Mus musculus: one gene and its partners. The protein of the gene in region 2 interacts with the protein of the main gene of each other region in a biochemical or structural test. Links are inferred from orthologs where the notes say so. Each region holds a gene or a part of one and is shown on either strand. Other genes may lie near its edges.

Evidence for each region. The genes of interacting proteins can lie anywhere in the genome.
Region 1: the proteins of Gabarap (region 2) and Atg7 form a complex in vitro, tested with the Homo sapiens proteins (2 studies listed by BioGRID and IntAct, with this or other methods). The link is inferred for Mus musculus from reciprocal best matches to the Homo sapiens genes GABARAP and ATG7.
Region 3: the proteins of Gabarap (region 2) and Nek9 form a complex in vitro, tested with the Homo sapiens proteins (2 studies listed by BioGRID and IntAct, with this or other methods). The link is inferred for Mus musculus from reciprocal best matches to the Homo sapiens genes GABARAP and NEK9.

Annotation. Positions count from the first base shown.
Region 1 is NC_000072.6:114,705,601-114,709,164, forward strand, and holds part of Atg7 (ubiquitin-like modifier-activating enzyme ATG7), read left to right. Parts: intron 1-532; coding exon 533-727; intron 728-1,903; coding exon 1,904-2,104; intron 2,105-3,493; coding exon 3,494-3,564. UniProt on the Homo sapiens protein: E1-like activating enzyme involved in the 2 ubiquitin-like systems required for cytoplasm to vacuole transport (Cvt) and autophagy.
Region 2 is NC_000077.6:69,989,966-69,994,231, reverse strand, and holds the start of Gabarap (gamma-aminobutyric acid receptor-associated protein), read right to left. Parts: upstream 2,863-4,266; 5' UTR 2,520-2,862; coding exon 2,430-2,519; intron 1,868-2,429; coding exon 1,789-1,867; intron 1,651-1,788; coding exon 1,532-1,650; intron 1-1,531. Other genes in the region: Ctdnep1 (CTD nuclear envelope phosphatase 1), read right to left, coding at 4,195-4,255. UniProt on the Homo sapiens protein: Ubiquitin-like modifier that plays a role in intracellular transport of GABA(A) receptors and its interaction with the cytoskeleton.
Region 3 is NC_000078.6:85,304,825-85,308,388, reverse strand, and holds part of Nek9 (serine/threonine-protein kinase Nek9), read left to right. Parts: intron 1-399; coding exon 400-459; intron 460-2,022; coding exon 2,023-2,252; intron 2,253-2,764; coding exon 2,765-2,926; intron 2,927-3,564.

The sequences.
Region 1 (3,564 bases), on a different chromosome or scaffold from region 2:
CATGAACCTCCATGGGCCCATGAAGATGTTGCTTTGAGTCTGAGCTCTGCCACTTAGTTCCTGAATTTTCCAACCTGCACCCCACCCCCAGCCATCTTTCCAGTCAGTGTTTTGGCCACTCTGGGAAAGCTGATGTTTTCACACTTGCCTGTGGCCAGTGGCATGCAGAGCATTGAGATGCGGTTTTCATCCTTTGCCTTCTGTGGAAGGTAAATCTCTGGCTGTGCGGCTCCTGTGACTCTGAGTTCCATCCTCAGTGACACACACACTCATGTACACACACACACACACACACAGACACATGTACACACAGAGACACACAGACACATGTGCACACACATTCACAGACAGATACATAGAAACATGCACAGACAGATAGATACACACACACACACACACACACACACACGGCTCAGGGGAATTGGAGAAGGTGCAGAGCAGAGCCCAGGTATTTGAGGAAAAGAGTGGTAGCACTGTGCAAAGAGGAATTCCTATAATGTAACTGATGTAAGTGGGGTCATTGCTTCCCCAGAATGCCAGAGGGTTCAACATGAGCATCCCCATGCCAGGACACCCTGTGAACTTCTCTGACGTCACGATGGAGCAGGCCCGCAGAGATGTGGAGCAGCTGGAGCAGCTCATTGATAACCATGATGTCATCTTCCTGCTAATGGACACCAGGGAGAGCCGGTGGCTTCCTACTGTTATTGCAGCCAGCAAGCGAAAGGTGGAGTGTGTCTTATGCTACCTCTGTCTGGAACTTAATGAGCCACCCAGGAAAGACGTGTCCACAGCCCACCATCCCCCAGGAAGGAGGGTGACCTGTGTGGCCCTGGAGCTCTTTACTTCCTGCCATCAACCTGCAATGGGTGTGCTTCCTAACCCAGCAGTCCTTTGCAAGTGCTAACGTTGGTACATGTGAAGTTCAAGGGCCTGTGATACTTAATTAAGTTTATATAGCCATTCTCAGGAAGCTTTTCAAAGAATGGTAATAAGAAAATGCCATATTACAAGATAAAATAGAATATGAATGTTATGTTACACTTGTATATAATAACATGCATGTCTGCCTTTACCGCCATCACCCCTCATCTGTCTGTCGGTCATTTATCATCCACCTTCTGTCTATCATGTACGACGCAAAGGACAAAGCAGGAAGGGGAGAGGAGGTACAAAAGGTAATACCTCAGAGTTTCTAGACCCCCAGAGCTGCGGTTTTAATTTTCTCTTCTCCAGTGTGCCTTTTCTTGATTCTTTCAAACTTTGTATATAACCAAAAATTTGGGAGAACGACTTAAATCCTAACCAAGAGGAATTCTTAAAGTACAAAGGAGGCTTCCCTTTAAAATCCACATGGTAAGCCAGTTGGTGGTAGTGCATGCACGCCTTTTATCCCAGCACTTGGGAGGCAGGGGCAGGCAGATCTCTGAGTTTGAGGCCAGCCTGGCCTATAGAGTGAGTTCCAGGGCAGCCAGGGCTACACAGAGAAACCCTGTCTCGAAAAAAAGGAAAGAAAAACTCCACATGGTGGGAAAATCATAGCTTACAAACCGTGACCCAGTGAAGCTTTCCAAGGAACTAAGAGGGTGTGGCAGAGTGGTGTGGGCAACCACCAACTTCTGGTCATAGTTCCCTCCTATCAGCTCTATAATCCTGGGACACAGGTGGAACTCTGACCGTTGACATACTCATCTATAAACTGACAATATTTGTAAAGGGTTTAAATGAGATGGTTTATCTTAGCAGTTTATCAAGTCTCTTGCATGTTTCATATGGCTATTAAAGATTAGTTACACTCACATGAAAAAAGAAAGCAATGTGAAGGTAGCCAGCCACATGTGAACTTTGCCTTGGCCTGAGATGTGTTTGTCCTGACTCCTTTTTCTTCCTTCACTGCTAACAGCTGGTCATCAACGCTGCCTTGGGGTTTGATACCTTTGTTGTCATGAGACATGGCCTGAAGAAACCCAAGCAGCAGGGAGCCGGAGACCTCTGCCCAAGCCATCTTGTAGCACCTGCTGACCTGGGCTCCTCACTTTTTGCCAACATCCCTGGATACAAGCTTGGCTGCTACTTCTGCAATGATGTGGTGGCTCCAGGAGATGTAAGTCGGGCTCTGTGTTCCTGCCCTGGCTACACAGTGCTGGTTAAAGACTGTCTAATAAAGAGCATTCTCTAGTTGTGGGGAGGGGAACTGTCCCACTATGAGCCATGTTGGCACTCTTACCTGAATGGCTGAGCCACAGTCACTGCATAAATGTGGCCACAGCCTGTGACAAGCTGATTGAGGAATCTTCCGTGTAGCCAGCCCCCTTGTAGTCTTGCATGCCGTCCTCCGATGATCCAGAGGCCTCCTTTTCCCTGTCACTCTGCAGACAGGGCAGGGCACGGGCTTGTCACACTGTCTGCAGACTGAATTTCAGGTAAACAGCAAGTGTTCTTTTGGGGGTTTTTGTTTGTTTGGTTGGTTGGTTGGTTTTGATTTTTTTTTTTAAATACATAGATAGCCCTTTACAGTAGTCAAGAGCTGCTTGGAAAAAAAATTCTTGTTTATCTGAAATTGACCTATTAACTGTGCCTAGTGTATTTTTATCTGACGATCTAGACAAGGAACCCCCACCCCCATTCTGAGCATGCTCACTGATGGGCCAGTGGAATGTGAGGCAGTCAGCAGTGCCTCTAGCTGGGTTCTGCAGCCTAGTGAGCTTGCAGGAATAGGCCTCTCTCAGGGCTCAGCGGCAGACCTGCTCTGTGAACTGCCCTGTTTCCCCTTCTGCTGTTTCTCTCTCTGGAATGACTGGCTTCTCCCACCATAGAGAAAAGCTGCTATCTCCTTTGGTGTGAGGAAGGAGGCTTAATGATCTTCATAAGGTGCTAGAACATGCAGGTGTCCTATTGGTCAGTGGGTGCCATCCAACAGGGTTGAGCCCCCAAGCAGGGCAGCCATGTCTTTTCATTACATTGAAGTTTTTATAGCATTAAACAACCCTGGGATTTGCCCCTGTTTGGAAGATTAGGAGTAACAGCTTGTGCATGTAGCCAGGTAGTAACAGATGCTTGCAGCTTTGTACTGAAGTCCTCAGAGCACAGCCAGGGTAATGAGGCAGTGCACAGGAACAGAGGACAGAGGGTAGAGATTGTGGCTCCTGCCCCAGTCAGGGTCACTCTGAGCCACTACCTCAGGCAGGACAGTTATCAGCCATTCGTGATTGTTTCTCCCTGTGACTCTGTCTGCAGTACAAGAGAGGTGATGGATTCCAGTTGAGGAGCCATGGCTCAGAGCCACCATGAAGCCATGCTGATGGCTAATGTCTCATCTCTGTCTCTTTACAGTGCACATCCTGTTCCAAGTAGTGCCTTGTTTAATTACACACTGTTTTCTCCCAAGACAAGACAGGGTGAATTTTAAAGCTTTATCTTAGGGAGTTTCAGGTTCACCTAGGTCTGGCTGAATTAGAATATTCTATGCATGTCTGTGGTTGCTTCTCTTTAGTCAACCAGAGACCGGACTCTGGACCAGCAGTGCACAGTGAGCCGCCCAGGCCTGGCCGTGATTGCAGGTGC
Region 2 (4,266 bases):
TAGTACAGAAGGAATAAAAGAAAAGCAATCATTCCTATTTTATCTCTCTCCTATAGGAAAGGCTGACTTGGACTGGGTGGTAGTGGTGCACACCTTCAATCCCAATGCTCTGGAGGCAGAGGCAGGCAGAACTCTGTGAGTTAGAAACCAGCCTGGTCTACAGAGTGAGCTCCAGAACAGCCAGGGCTACACAGAAAGACTATGTCTCAAAAAACAAAACAAAACAAAACAAAACAAAACAAACAAAAACAAAAACAAAAACAAGCTGGGCTTGGAAGCGCAAGCCTTTAATCCCAGCACTTGGGAGGCAGAGGCAGGTGGATTTCTGAGTTCGAGGCCAGCCTGGTCTACAAAGTGAGTTCCAGGACAGCCAGGGCTTTACAGAGAAACCCTGTCTCTGAAAAAAAAAAAAAAAAAAAGAAAGAAAGAAAGAAAGAAAGAAAGAAAGAAAGAAAGAAAGAAAGAAAGAAAGAAAGAAAAAGGCTGACCTCACTGCCCGGTGTGGTGGCACACGCCTTTAATCCCAGCACTCGGGAGGCAGAGGCAGACGGATTTCTGAGTTCAAGGCCAGCCTGGTCTACAAAGTGAGTTCTAGGACAGCCAGGGCTATACAAAGAAACCCTGTCTCAAAAAAACAAAAAACAAACAAAAAAAAAAGAGGCTGACCTCAAACTCACTATACTATGTAGTCAACAACTTCCAACTTGATACTGCTGCCTCGGCCTCTACCTTCCTCTGCTTCCACAGTGCTGGGACTGAAGCTGTGCATGATCATGCCCCACGTTCAGTGGTTTTGAGGGTTTTTAATTTGGGGATTTTTATTTTTGATTGTTTTATTTTTATTTTTATTTATTTATTTATTATTTTTTTTTTTGAGACAGGGTCTCACTACTAAGTATCTCTGACTAATCAGGATAGACTCAAACTCAAAAGAGACCCACCAGCCTCTGACTCCTGGATGATCGGATTAAAACTGTGTGCAGAAACAGCTGTGCTTTGGATTTAAAGGATCAAAGGTATGTGTCACCATTCAGGATGAGGACTTATAACAACTCTAACACCAGCACTCAAGAGGCATAAGCAGGAAGCTCTCTGAGTCTGAGGTCAGCCTGGTCTGTGTGTCAAGTTTAGGGCAGTGGTGGCGCACACCTTTTGTTAAGCCCAGCCCTAGGGAGGCAGAAACAAGTGGGTCTCTGGGAGTTTAGAGGCCAACCTGGTCTACAGAGGGGATTCCAGGACAGCCAGGATTATACAGAGAAGCCCTGTCTCCTAAAGAAAACGAACAGAAAGTAACAACAACAACCACCACTCCTCAAACGCAATCTATTCTTTGACATCTGGGACTCTTGGAGAGACTCACTTAGGTAGTAAGTCCCAGTCAGAACAACTCCACCAGTTCATACTCCTCCCTATTCTCAGCGCTAGTAAGATCCCACGGCAGGGCTGTACTGACATTTTAAAGTTAGCCAGCAGCGACCGCTGGCCTTTACTTTCCTCTCCAAACACTACCGTTCCTTCCAAGGTACTGTACCTGGTACAGCTGACCCATCGTGGCACTGGTGGGTGGAATGACATTGTTGACAAAGAAAAACAAGGCATCTTCAGCACGGAGATGAATTCGCTTCCGGATCAAGAAGTAGAATTGACCAACTGCCAAAAACAGGAGATGCAAGCAAGTCACAGAGGTCGTAGGCGCCTCCAGAGAACAGCTGCCAGGTGAAGCCTCCTCCCACAGAGTTGGCAGGCCCACCCACAGAAAGAAACGTGCACCACAGGTCAAGCCCTCACCTGTAAGATCAGAAGGCACCAGGTATTTCTTTTTGTCCAGGTCTCCTATCCGAGCTTTGGGGGCTTTTTCCACTATCACCTGATAAAAGGTAAGAATGAGAAAAATGAATATATATATATATATATATACATACATACACATATATATGCTGCTATATCGATGAAGAACTCAACATACAATATTCCCTTTTACTGAAACCTACTGGAATCTCATTTCTCTAGTTATCCTTATATACGTGGTGCACACAGCATTAGGTCCAAAGCTCCTGGCCTCACTCTTACCTAAATATTGAGAACTGATCCTAGAACGGCGCATCACAATAACTATTTTCACCAGAGAATACAGGATGACTTGTTTGGGTCAAAAATCTACATTAAATCTAGCTAGTTGGGAGGATGGCCATGGAAACTCTGGGTTGTCAAGCTCACTAAGGCCTCTATTCTGAGAAATACCCTGATCTCTCTCTCCCGTCCACATCTTAGTCCCCAGCTCTACTTCAGGTGAGAGACCTCTGGTACCAGAGACAACAGAGTTCTAACCCCACGACAGACAGAGCCTGACTTCAGCTTTCCCAGACTCAAGCATAGCCTGTGGCGACAGCGTCAGCGACGCTAGCCTGGGCCCTGGCTACTGTCCTTACCGGGACCCGGTCTGGGTATTTCTTTCGGATTTTCTCGCCCTCAGAGCGGCGCTTCTCGAACGGATGCTCCTCTTTGTACACGAACTTCATTCTCCCGAGAACCGGGCTGGACCGAGCTGGGCTGAGGGAACCCAGGGGGGGGGCCGGGACAGGGGGCGGCGGCGGAGGCGGCTTCGACGAACAGACTTGGCGGAGCGATCCACGAATTTGCGCCACTTCCCTATTCATCAACCCCGCCCCCGACCATCGGACCGGCCCCGCCTGCTAACATACGCCACTAGCTCAGCTTGCTAGCGCAACCCGTAGCCTGGTCCTCTTACGCCTTCAGCGTAACTGCTTTGGAATCAACTTGTGGGTTACACATATGACATCGCAGATAAGGTTGCTGTTGTTTCGAGTGAACTGAAAAACCCTTTCCCACAGTACAAAGTTGAGGACGAAACTGGTACCCAGTGGCAGTCATGAGATTTAGTTCTGCAGTTCTCGGAAATTACGTTGGGGAAAGGCAGACAATTACAAGTCTAGGATTTCATGAGACGTGTTTCTACGCTGAAGGTGGCCGTTGACACCAAAACAAAGTAGTACCCAAGCTGTGGATATGGACACCATAAGACAGAAAGGAAAGAGGTTTGCAGACACCCAGGGAATGCTCAAGGCTCAGGCTTATGTGAACCAAGAGAAACTGCAAAAGCCCCAAAGATAAGGACTACACCAGAGCGGAGGAACACATTTCTGAGTGTAGATAAAATCATGTGACCTCAGAAAAGGGCGGAGAATCACGTGGCGGGTGGCGAAAAGTAGTCCCGGCTCTGGAGAGGAGGTGCCAGGAAAGAGGGTTCCGCCCCAGGTTACTGCTGGAGTGCCAACACCTCGTAGGCAGCGCCCTCTTAGCCTGTCCACGTCAACTTCCCAGACAAGCCCAGCCTTTCTCCAGCTGTATGCCCTTCCAGGGTTCTAGAGTTTTCCCTCTTTAGCCTTCTATATCCTACTTTAAAGTTGTTGGTCCACTGTCCATCAGGGACTCCATCCAGTCAGTGGGGCCTTTCCTGCCGAACACTGAACATAAACTACTTTATCCCTGTGCTAAATCCCACTTCCCCCCAACTCCAAACAGCATCTTCTCCCTCTGCTTCAAGGACAGAGCAGATGTCAACAAAGTTCCCTCCATTTCCAAAAACATCAGAGAAGGGTCTAGGGCAGCTTTGGTTTCAAAGTTATAATGCATGGTTTAAAAGAGGAAAGAAGAAAGGAGCCGATTACAGGTATGGGGGATTGGGGAAAGAAAAAAAATGAGGAAAAGTAAGGGGGGGACAAGTCTGAGGAGGATCCAGTGGCCCGAAACCCCAGTCCCCACCCACAGCCCAGCCCTTGGAGCAGGAGTGAAGAATTAGATCAGTTTTGTATAAGAGTTTTTAAAAAAATCAAATCACAACAAAGTTGAATTGGCTTCTTTTGAGCCTCTGGGATATGTCTGTCACTCTGGCCAGTCCTGCCTCTTCACCAGACTGTTTCGGCTCCTCTAGGCCTTCGCCTGTCCCAGTCTGGCATTTCCACGGAGTGTGAACCCAGAGTGAGGCTGCTTCACGGTCTGGCCCATGTGTCCATCCAGACTCCATAAGTGGAGTGTAGGGCTCCCAGGGCAGAGGGGTGGGAGGGGCAGACTCTGCCCAGGCAGTCCTCACATTGGACAGGGCAACAGACGGTGTCCCAAGAACTCTCCCTCCCTTTCCCCTCCACCCCAACTCAGGTGGAGGGGGAGCAGCTGTCACCAGAGCCTATGTTGGTGAAGGTTTCGGCTCAGCACCGATCGGACATCAGCAGTGAACCTGAAATGACA
Region 3 (3,564 bases), on a different chromosome or scaffold from region 2:
TTCTTGAGAAACGTTTAGTAATTCTTTTAAAAGAAAATTTCCAAATGCTTTTTGCATACAGAGTACTTTGAAATTCATGATAAAAGCATGGCTTTTATAAACCTTAGTCCTGCACTGCCCTTGACTAGTTTAATCAGGATCTCTGGGGCCAGGTGTAGGTATTGCTACCTTGTACAGCTTCCGTGCTGCTTCTGGTGAGCACAGAGATAGAGAATTCCCAGTGCAGCACTGAGCACAGTAGCTCAATAGCGTTTCACTTACGAGACTGACTTCTAAATAGTGAGTTCTGAGTTACTGAGGGTCAGGAATGACAGGGACAGTTTCTTCCCTGACCCGTCTTCTTCACCCTTCCTCCCAGTGTCTGTACAAAGTGCTTACCTACTGCACATTTTTCCTCAGAGAAAGTGTTGAATTCCAAGACCATCCGTTCCAATAGCAGTGGCCTGTCCATCGGAACTGGTAAGCAGTGGAGCCCCAGGGACCAGCTTGGTCTTTGGGTTGAGAGGAAAGGTTGTATTTTGGTGAGTGTTGAGGTTTTGGCATTGTTATCAGGGTGACTTCATCTTCTTGCCTGCATCACATACTTGTGATACAGTTAAGAGACTTGTTCCACATTGTAATGGGACATTTGTATTCCTTACCATCCCATGAGCCTTTACTTCCATAGTATTCCAGGCAGTCTAGTCTTTCTATAGCACTTGGGAGGCAGAAGCAAGTGGATTTCTGTGAGTTTGAGGTCAGATGGTGCATAGTAAGACCCTGTCTTCAAAAACCAAACAAAATTTACCTTCAAAATAGGCCCTCTGAAGGAAAAGTCAGTTACTAGCTTTCAACTTAGGAAAATCAGCCTAAACCCTCTGGTAGCTTTCCACCTGTGAGAAGTCATGGATGTGCCATTATTTCAGAATCCATCTTCTTATTTTGGGGAGACTTAAGGGGTGCTTGGCTCAATGCTGAACAACTTTTTACATAAGACAAATACTAGTGGAGGACACTTCAATGTATTTACCTGCCAGAGATGCACTAAGATTTAGAAAATAGACATGAATTCTGGTGATTGTAACACATACCTTTATGTAAGCCTGGCATGGTGGCACATGCTTATCATCCTAGCACTAAGAAGTAGAAATAAGTGCAGTAGTAAGGTCAGAGGTTCAAGGCCAGCCTGGGTGGCATGAGGATCCTTCCTGTCTCAAGAATTAAAATTTGTAAACTGGGTGTTGGTGGCGCACACCTTTGATCCCAGCACTTGGAAGGCAGAGGCAGGCGGATTTCTGAGTTCCAGAGGCCAGCCGGATCTTCAGAGCAAGTCCCAGTACAGCTAGGGCTACACAAAGAAACTTTGTCTCAAAAAGCCAAAATAAGGAGAGAGAGAGAGAGAGAGAGAGAGAGAGAGAGAGAGAGAGAGAGAGAGAGAGAAGAGAGAGAGAAGAGGAAGAAAAAATGTAGGCCCATAAGATGGCTCATGATGAAAGGCTTATACTGCCATCATGACAATTTGAGTTCAGTCCTGGGACTCACGTGATAGAAAAAGAGAATTAACCTTTACAGTACAGTGTATACACACATGCCCACATCCACACACATAATAAATCAATGTGATAACTTAAAAATACTGTGGAGCTGGAAAAACAATCCAGCAGTTAAGAGTGCCTGTTGCTTTTACAGAGAACTGGGGTTTGGTTCCTAGCACTCAAATGACTGCTGACAACCATCTGTAACTCCAGTTGCAGAGGATCTGACACCTTCTTCTGGCCTCCAAGGGCAATGCATGTGCATGGTACCAGACATACATGCAGCTGAAACCACCCATACCCATAAAATTTTTTTTAAAAAATCTTTTTAGAATAATTTTTACAAATTCAAATGCTATCTATGTAAAAACAATTTAGTCTCAAATATTTGTTTGAACGTTCCACTTTGTGCAATTCTAGGACCTTCTGTGGGGGTGAATGAGGTGTCAGATGCTAAATCTCTGTGGCCTAACGAAGCTCTTTCTTTCCTATGCTACACATCTACCAGTGGTTCAGAGCTCCAGCCCAGGAGGTGGCATTGGTGGTGGTGGTGGTGGTGGCGGCGGCGGCGGGGGTGAAGAGGAAGACAGTCAACAGGAATCTGAAACTCCAGATCCAAGCGGAGGCTTCCGAGGAACAATGGAAGCAGACCGTGGGATGGAAGGCTTAATCAGTCCCACGGAGGCCGTGGGAAACAGCTGTGGGGCTAGCAGCTCCTGTCCTGGCTGGCTTCGGAAGGTAATGCCCTCAGAACAGATGCTTCAGATAAGCCTGTGACAGGAGCTAGTGAGGGCTGCCAAGGTCTCAGTTTCTAGTGCCCTACTAATTGAGACAGGAGTCAAGGCTTCACTTTCCCACCCGTGAAGACATCTGTGTTTTGTTTTAAAACGGGGTCTCAGTTTGTAGTCCTGGCAGGCTTAGAACTCAAAGAGTTCCACTTGTCTCTGTTTCCCAAGTGCTGGGACTAAAGGCAGCCTGGAAGGAGGCCTCAGTGCCTTGCCGTCAAGCTTCCTGACCAGCAGACAGTGTGTGTAGAATTGTGTTGGGAAATGAACCAGATACAACTTGCTGAACTTGAGCTAGCATCGCTGAAGTTTGGTTCCAGGTTAGGCAATATATGTGGTCAGCCACCATTCTGTACCACTAGAGGGCGCTGCTGTCACAGCAGCGTGAAAGTGAAAGCTACAAAGACCGTGGGAGAAAGGAACTTGCTGCAGCCAAACTGGTGAGATTCTTTCTTGTCTGCCTAGGAGCTGGAAAACGCAGAGTTCATTCCCATGCCTGACAGCCCCGCTCCCTTAAGTGCGGCGTTTTCACAGTCTGAGAAGGACACGCTGCCCTATGAAGAGCTGCAGGGACTCAAGGTCGCATCTGAAGTTCCTCCGGAGCCCCAGCGTGCAGCAGGAGCCTGGGTAACTGACAGTGGCTGTTTGTGCCTGGGCTCTCCTGGCTTCATCATGTCCTCTCACTTTCGGGGCCAGTGCTGCACTGTCCTGGCAGTTGCCGCTCTGCCTTCCAGCACAAGAGGGTCATTTCTTCCTTTCTTCCTCAGGAGTACTAAGCTGAACCATGAATTTCCAAATGGTCTTTTTGTTGTGACGGTTTGTTTCTTTATGGGGCAGGTTCTGTAGCCCAGCCAAGGATGGAGGATGACCTTTAACCTCTGTTACTCCTGCCTCTATCTCCCTCCCAGATGATGATATAGACATGTGCCACACACCCAGTTATGCAGTGTGGGGTCCAGCCCAGGGTTCTCTACATGCTAAGCAAACTCTTCACAGATAGCCACGTTCCTAGGCTCCAAACTCAGTTTTAATGGCACCATGAGTGTTAGCTGAGCTGTATGTAAGAAGCAATGCCTGGAGTCTGCTGAAAGAACAGCATACAGCCAGCCTGGGTAGAAGTGAAACTGTAAATCAGTTCTAAACCAGAGGGCACCACAGATCTAGAGAAGCCACGGCATCGTCACATGACTTTGTGGGCTGTTTAACCCTTTGCAGCTACAGCTCTGACGTCATAGCACAAAGCAGTCACAGATGCAGATTGAGTG